Linked DNA regions of Cricetulus griseus. The protein of the gene in region 1 purifies or fractionates together with the protein of each later gene. This does not show direct contact. Links are inferred from orthologs where the notes say so. Each region holds a gene or a part of one and is shown in the gene's direction. Other genes may lie near its edges. The genes, in order: Dnm2 and dynamin-binding protein.

Region 1 (4,388 bases):
GCACCGGGCGGTAGTGGCGAATGCCTTTAATCCCAGCATTTGGGAGGCAGAGGCAGGTGGATCTCTGTGAGTTCAACACTATCCTGGTCTCCAGGACAGCCTCCAAAGCCACAGAGAAACCCTGTCTCGAAAAACAAAACAAAACAACACCACAAAAAAGAACACTTTTTGCTCCTGCAGAGGATCTGGGTTTTGTTCCCAGCACCTACACTGTGGTTCACAGCCATGCAGAATTCCAGTCCTAGGGGATCTGACACTTCTGATTTCTGCGGGCACCAGGCACATTATGTGGTGCACATAAAAATAAAATAAATATTTTAAAACGTTTCAATATTTTATGTAAAATTTTAAGATTGATTTATGTAACAATTTTTTATGTACAAGGGTGTTTTGCCTGCATGTAAGCATGTGTATCATATTTGTGTCAGATCCTGTGGAGGCCAGAGGAGGATGTCAGATTCCTGGAACTGGAACTACTGATGGTTGTGAGCTGTCATGCAGGTGCTGGGAACCAAACTCGGGCCCTCTGCAAAGGCAGCAAGCACAAAGCCATCTCTCTAGGAGCAATAGAAAAAAATTTTCTTAAGTAAAAATAAACCTAGGCTTATAGTCACCGGTAAAAGACTTGCTTAGCTTCATGAGGCTATGGACTCATCCCCAGGAACATTCAGGAACATGCGCGGAAGAACGAGTGGATTCAGACACCACACTCACAACCTGCTATGAAACTCATCTTCCACTGGCACTGCACTCTTCCAGAGCTGGCATCTGTGGTGCTTCCTAAGATACAAGTTTTCTCCCAGTGCCTAAAAACGCAGGCGTGATGATCACTGAACCTTTTCTCGAGGTGTGGCGCTTTCCAAGTACTGTGGCCCTCTGCTTAGAAAGAATATCACAAACTGACAACAAAAGCCAGGAAAAGCTGGGAAGAACTGACTGACAGACACTGCTGTCAGTCAGAATCAGGACATAGACGCTAGTAGCCTGTAATTCTAGCAGGAGGGATACTGAGACAGGAGGATCACCTCGAGTTTGCGGCCAACCTATGGTTCAGAAAGAGCAGAAAAAAAAAGGGTTGTGGCTCTCTTCTTTCATTGGTCAGAGGGACGAAGTGATATTTACATCAACCAATGAGAAAATTTTACGGAACTAACTAGTGTCAAGTGACAACCCTGTGTTTAAGGATCGATTCCTTACACCATTGGCAGGCTGACGTTTCCAGAGACCAATAAGACAACCCAGATCAACCTAGTGAGCAGAGGCTTCGCTGTCTTTACCCGAGACCCCGCCTTCCGGGCGTGACACCCCGGTTTCCACTTCTATTGGCTTTCTCATATTAGTGACAGTTCTACTACCCAATGAAGGTGAAAGACTAGTCCTTCCTCGTGCCTTTTCTACTGGCTCCCATTCTTGAGTGGCAGCATTCTTGACCAATTGGCATAGCATTAGGGCTCCTGGCTCCGCCCCGGAGGCCGGGCGGGGAGGTCGCTCGGGTCGGGTGTCGCCTGAGAACCGGATGAGGCGGCGACTGTGAGGCCGAGCCGTGAGCGGGCGTCGCGGCGAAGTGGAGCCCGGGCGGGCTGGTGGAGCGAAGCGGGAGGAAGCAACGGCCACAGACGCCTCGGAGCCGCGTGTCGTAGCCAGGGGAGCCGCGGGGCGGAGGCTGGCACCATGGGCAACCGCGGGATGGAAGAGCTCATCCCGCTGGTTAACAAGCTGCAGGACGCCTTCAGCTCCATCGGCCAGAGCTGCCACCTGGACCTGCCGCAGATCGCCGTGGTGGGCGGCCAGAGCGCCGGCAAGAGTTCGGTGCTCGAGAACTTCGTGGGCCGGTGAGCGAGCGCGCCGGCGGCAGTTCCCAGGCTCCCGCGGGAGGCCGGGCGGCGGGCGGGCGGCGGCCGGCCTAGGCGCGGAGGGCGGGCGGGGAATGGCGGAACTGCGGCTCGCGGACGTCGTAGCACCCGTGGCAGTGGGTAAGGTCTGTGGCAAGAGCGTCCGTGACTTTCCTCAGGGACCGGAGATGCAGACCCACTTCCGGACCTGTCTGGGGCAAGATGGCCAATGCAGATCCTTCTTGGTGCACTGAGTCCCAGCTATCGCTGGTGAACTGTGACATCGCATTGCCTGTGATCCAGGATAGATCCACTCTTTTCTCCTGCTACCTGTAAATCTTAGTGTGCGTGCTACTGAAGCTACACTTATCATCCAGCCCCCCCATGGGGGATGATCCCTGGGTCTGTCAGGCTGGTTATCTATGTGGAGCCTTCTCTGCCGTCTGGTTAGCTGTTTATTCGTTCTAGACAGGCTTCCTACCGGCACCATTTGGTTGTCCCATCTGTCCAGACCCACCCCGAAGTCCACTGTTGTCTGACTAGCTGTTTATGGTGACCTCTGGTGTGCAAATGCCCATCTGTGCCCTTTGCTTACCCGAGTTGGTCTCTGCCACCTGAACGCCTGAACTTTTAGGGGCCTCTGTTGTCTGGTTCTCTTGGGCCATTGGCTTCTGTCTTCCAAGTGAATCCGTTCCGTTAGTATGCCCTGCTGTTCATTACCGCCCAGTCAACTCTGCCTGTCCCATCCTCTCTGAGTGGGGGGGGGGGGGGCGGGGCGCTTGAGAAGAAACATTCTTTAGGATTCTTTCCTGGCCCAGGATCCTAGAGAAACTACTAGCTGGCTCCTAAGCTAAATCTTCCCGGTTGGAGAGCTCTCCAGACAGCTCTGGGAGCCTCAGCTTGTTCCATCTGTCCAGTGGGCAAATTCCACTTGCAGCTGTTTCTATGATCCAGGAAGTGAGTGAAGGAGGGATGTTGATTTACTCCTATCCCCTCCCCCGCTGCTTTTCACACAGCACCACTTCTCCATTCCAGGAAGTGTTCCATGTATGATGCTGTGGTGTGTGCCCAGTGATAATCTTTGCTTTGCTGTGGACATTATTGTGCCTGTGTGTGTCCGTGTGTCCAAGTGTGTGCCACAGTGCACTTGTGGAGGTCAGAGAACATCATCTTTGTGCAGTCCCTCATTTATGTGGGTCCTGGGGATCAAACTCAGGGCATCAGACCTACATAGCAAGCAAGCCCCTTTGCCCATTGAGCCATATCATTCATTGTCTTTTCATCTGAATGTGTAGCTTTGGAGCCTATCCTGGCACTTGCTCTGTGGCTCAGGCTGACCTTGAACTCAGAGATCCACCTGCCTCTGCCTCCCGAGTGCTGGGATTAAAGGTGTGTGTAGCCACTGCCAGGCTCCATCTGAAATTTTTGAGACGTGGTCTGAGTCTGAAGCTCACGGAGCAGCTAGACTGGCTGGCCAGTGAGCTCCAGTGTATCCACCTCTCTCTGCCTCACCCTAGCATTGGGTTACACAGACACACTCTCTCTCTCTCTCTCTCTCTCTCTCTCTCTCTCTCTCTCTCTCACACACACACACACACACACACACACACACACTCCCTACTTCCTTCCCTCCTTCTCCCTAGTGCATGTTGTTGTTGTTGACAGTCTTTTGTGGAAGGAGGAACATCTCTGAATTTGAGGCTATGTTACTCTACATAGAGTTCTAGGGTAGACAAGGCTATACAGTGAGACCCTGTCGCAAACAAACAAACAAACAAACAAAAAACCCATATAGGTTGGTTCAAGGATGTACTTGGATGTTGGAAGTGTCGATTTAGGCTAAATTAGATGTACCTGTGATCTTAGGTACTCAGGAGTCTGAGGCAGGACAAGGTTTGAGTTTATGGTCACCTTGGGTTGCATTGTTAGATCTTGTCTCAAAAAAAAGCCAGGAGTGGCTTGTGGTTGTAGCTCAGGCATAGAGCAGTTGCCTTGCATGAATAAGGCCCTAGGGGTTAGTCCTTAGCATTAAACCGATAATAAATATTATTGCCATTTATGTTCTCTTTGATTGCTTCATACTCAAAGAGACCTTTGTAAGACTGTGGCTTTTAGGTACTGAATTTTTTATGTATATGTACATACACCTATTTTTAATTAATTTTTTTAGATATAGTCTCACTCTCTAGACCAGGCTGGCCTTGAACCCACAGGGATCCACCTGCTTCTGCCTCCTGGGTGCTGGGATTAAAGGTATGCACCACCATTCCTCTATTTTTCAAAACAAAATTTTGAGACAGTCTCATACTATATAGTCCAGGCTGACCTGGAACTCACCATGTGACACAGGTTGGCCCCCAGAAGTGTAATAATCTTTTCCTGCTTCCACTTTCCAAGTGCTAGGGTCACAGGCATGTACTGCCATGCCTGGCATTAAGTTCTTTTTGCTCTAGAATGTCTTAAGGCCCCTGGGCTGAAGGAACCTGCTAAGAGGGGTCTTTTGGTGGGTCCCACTCAATCCTATTCTGTATCTCCTGCTGTGAATTTGACTAAACA
Region 2 (3,811 bases), on another chromosome or scaffold:
CAACAGAAGACGAACACAGCCTCTCCCAAGCCCACCTCCTGTACCCTTCCTAGTTGGGAGGCCCCAGAGAAGGAGTGCCCTGAGCCTGCGGATCAGAGCCCAGCCCAGATGTCTCAGTCTCTGTGCCCCTCTGTGCTGGTGAGGATTCAGGATGTGGAAAATGACTTGGACATGTACACCAGGGCTCAGGAAGAGCTGACCTTGATGTTGGAGGAAAAGCAGGATGAATCGTTGAGGGCAGAGATGCTGGAAAATCTCAAGTTCTATGAGAGCAGCATTCAGAGTCTGACCCTGGAGCTCCAGCAGCTGAGAGGTAAGAGTCAGGAAACAGTGTGATCTCCACACTGAGGCTCAGTGAGGGCCTGGCTATGTGAAAAGCACCCTGGTCAACACAGAGTGATCCACATCTCGATTCCTAGTTCCTCATTCTGTCACCTAATTAGATTGCTGTGCTGTGCTGTATCTATGACGTCATTTACTGCTCATAGAGAAGCCCAGCCTCATAAACGAGTGTATTTTTGACACAGTACCCCCTCTGCCACTGTGGCATCCATGCTACATTGCAGATTGGAAGTTCCTAAACTAGACTTTCTAAACTGAAGTCTACCAGGCCAACTCTCCTGAGAAAACTAAAACTTTATCTTTGTGATCAGGGGCCGTGTGACGGCAGTGATAGCCTGTATTTCTTTCTTGTTAGCATTTGTTGTTACTATTTGTTTAGAGGCTTCACGGGGCAGGGAGCTGGAGAGATGGCTCAGCAGTTAAGAGCACTGACTGCTCTTCCAGAGGTCCTGAGTTCAATTTTCAGCACCCACATGGTGGCTCCCAGCTGTCCATGACTCCAGTTCCAAGAAATCCAACCCTCAAACAGAAGGCAAAACACCAATTCATGTAAAATAAAAATAAATTACTAAAAAAAATAGAGTTGGGCTGGAGAGATGGCTTAGAGGTTAAGAGCACTGAGTTCAATTGTGAGCCACCACATGGTGGCTCACAACCATCCGTAATGAGATCTGGTGCTCTCTTCTGGCCTGCAGATCTACATGGAAGCAGAATGCTGTATACATAATAAATAATAAAATCTTTAAAAAGAAAAGAAAAAACAAATTTAAAAAAAATAGTCTTTTCATGGCCCTCATGCAGGGATTGTTCAGACACCACTTTATAGAGGGAGGAACTAGACCGAGCTGTTAAGTGACTTGCAGAGAGCTGAGGTCTAAGCTGGTGTTATCGCTACTATAGCTTTTGACTCCTTCCCACCTGGTATATTCAAAAATGCATATTCCATGGCTAGTCTCTGAAGTTCTGTGTGTGTGTGCAGGTACATGTGTAGGTATGCATGCATATGTGTGTACATGTGTATGGGTCAGAAGTCATCCTTGAGCATTGTTCTTCAACTGCTGTCACCTTGGTTTTTTGAGATAGGGTCTCTCATTGGCCTAGAGCGGTGGCTGTCAACCTTCCTACAGCTGTAACCTCTTGATACAGTTCCTCATGTTGTGGTGACTCCCAACCATAAAATTATTTTTGTTGCTACTTCTTTTTTTTTATTAGTTCAAATTAGAAACAAGCTTGCTTCACATGTCAATCCCTTCTCCCTCCCCTCCCCTCCCCCCAGCCCCTGCCAACCCCCCACCCTTCCCCCCTCTGCTCCCCAGGGAGGGTAGGGCCCTCCATGGAGGCTCCCCCAAGTCCACCACGACATCCTGGGCCAGGCCTAGGCCCTCCCCCATGTGTCCAGGCCAAGAGTGCATCCCTTCACGAGGGATGGGCTCTCAAAGTCCCTTCTTACACCAGGGAAAAATACTAATCCATTACCAGGGGCCCCCTAGAGTGCCGAGGCCTCCTCATTGACATCCATGTTCAGGGGTCTGGATCAGTAACTTGCTGGCCTCCCAGGCAGCAGTCTGGGGTCCATGTGCTCCCCCTTGTTCAAGCCAGCTGTTTCTGTGGGTTTCACCAGCCTGGTCCCGGCCCCTTTGTTCTTCACTCCTCCCTCTCTGCAACTGGGTTCCAGAGTTCAGTTCAGTGTATAGCTGTGGGTGTCTGCCTCTGCTTCCATCAGCCACTGGATGAGGGCTCTAGGATGGCATAAAAAGTAGTCATCAGTCTCATTATAGGGGAAGGGCATTTAGGGTAGCCTCTCCACCATTACCTAGATTGTCAATTGGTGTCATCCTTGTAGATCTCTGGAGATCTCCCTAGTGCCAGATCTCTCCTCAGACCTATAATGGCTCCCTCTGTTATGGTATCTCTCATCCTGCTCTCCTCTATTCTTCCCCTACTCAACCTTTCTGCTCCTCCATTTCCTCCTCTCCTCTCCTCTTCTCCTCTCATTCTGGCAGCTCCCTCTCTGTTACCCTCAGGCTACCAATTAACTCAGGAGATCCTGCTCCTTCCCATTCTCCCGGGTCCGTGCATTTTTCTCTTAAGAGTCCTTCTTGTTTCCTAGTTCCTTTGGTGATGAGGATTGTAGGCTGGTAATCCTTTGCTCTATGTCTAAAATTCATATATGAGTGAGTACATACATGTTTGTCTTTTTGTGTCTGGGTTACCTCACTCAGGATGGTTTCTTCTAGTTCCATCTATTTGTTGCTACTTCTTGACTGTAATGTTGCTACTGTTTTGAATTGTAACATAAATATCTGATGTGCAACCCCAAAGGGGTCGAGAGCCACTGGCCTGGAGCTTGCTGATCATGCTAGGCTGACTGGCCAGTGAAACCCACCTGTGTCTACTTCCTCAGTGCTGAGCTTATAGGCGTGTGTCACCACTCCTGGCCTTGTACATGGGGTGCTGGGTGCTTAGGTCCTATGCTTGTGCAGAGGGCTCTTTGAGCCACATTCCCAGTTCTCTCTGGAGAGTTCTTATTCAGCAGACTCACAGGAAAAATAATATACAAAGTGGAGCTGGCTTGGTGATGTGTGCCTGTAATCTGAGCACTCATGAGGCTGAGGCAGGAGAATTGTTCCCGAATACGGCTGTTACACAGAGAAACCCTGTCCTGAAAAACAAAAACAAAAACAAAACTTTTCATATGGGGACATCATTGTTCGATAGTTGACGTATGGTTCAAAGATGCTTAGACTTTAGTGGAACTATTTTTTGAAGATGTGTTTTTATTTCTTTTTATGTGTACGTGTGTATGAGAGAGAGAGAGAGAGAGAGAGAGAGAGAGAGAGAGAGAGAGAGAGAGAGAATGTATGCCATGGTTATAGATGCTCTTGGAGGTCAGAGGAGACTTCGGATACCCCGATGCTGGAGTTACAGGTAGTTGCGAGCTTCCAGTTACAAAGTTGGCATACTCATAGAGCGTAAAACACATAGGTATGTGTTTTATTTGTAAGTGTGAATTGCTATAATGAGCATACGGGGCCATGAGCATACATTCTCATGAACTCACACTAACAGCAGCCACTCTAAGCAAAACTAGTAGATTGGGTCCTGCCTACTCCTCATGGTCCTGACCACTCATCCGGAGTTGCAGGTGGAGGAGTTTCCCCACTCTTGTTTGGGCTCCTTCAAGCCCACATCTCTACACTGTTCGACTTTATTCTCTTAGGAGAGTTCTAGTCTGTTCACTCATTGCTAGATGTCTCACCTGATTTTTCTTGGGCTTTTTATTTTATTCATTTATTTATTGTGTGTGCGTTTCTGACGTCTTTTCTTCAGGAGGTCATTGACAAAGTTCAGGCTTAAGGTTGGGGGAGATTGGCAAAACTGTCACAGAATGTTTTTATGATCCTAGTTTTCCTTTGCTTGCTTTTTGTTTTGTTTTAGATTTTGTTCTCATTTTTAACTCTGTGTATGT

The links.
Region 2: the proteins of Dnm2 (region 1) and dynamin-binding protein purify together in Homo sapiens (co-immunoprecipitation; 3 studies listed by BioGRID and IntAct, with this or other methods). This does not show direct contact. The link is inferred for Cricetulus griseus from reciprocal best matches to the Homo sapiens genes DNM2 and DNMBP.

Annotation. Positions count from the first base shown.
Region 1 is NC_048597.1:134,285,714-134,290,101, forward strand, and holds the start of Dnm2 (dynamin-2), read left to right. Parts: upstream 1-1,504; 5' UTR 1,505-1,671; coding exon 1,672-1,832; intron 1,833-4,388. UniProt on the Homo sapiens protein: Catalyzes the hydrolysis of GTP and utilizes this energy to mediate vesicle scission at plasma membrane during endocytosis and filament remodeling at many actin structures during organization of the actin cytoskeleton.
Region 2 is NC_048596.1:17,642,369-17,646,179, forward strand, and holds part of dynamin-binding protein, read left to right. Parts: coding exon 1-313; intron 314-3,811. UniProt on the Homo sapiens protein: Plays a critical role as a guanine nucleotide exchange factor (GEF) for CDC42 in several intracellular processes associated with the actin and microtubule cytoskeleton.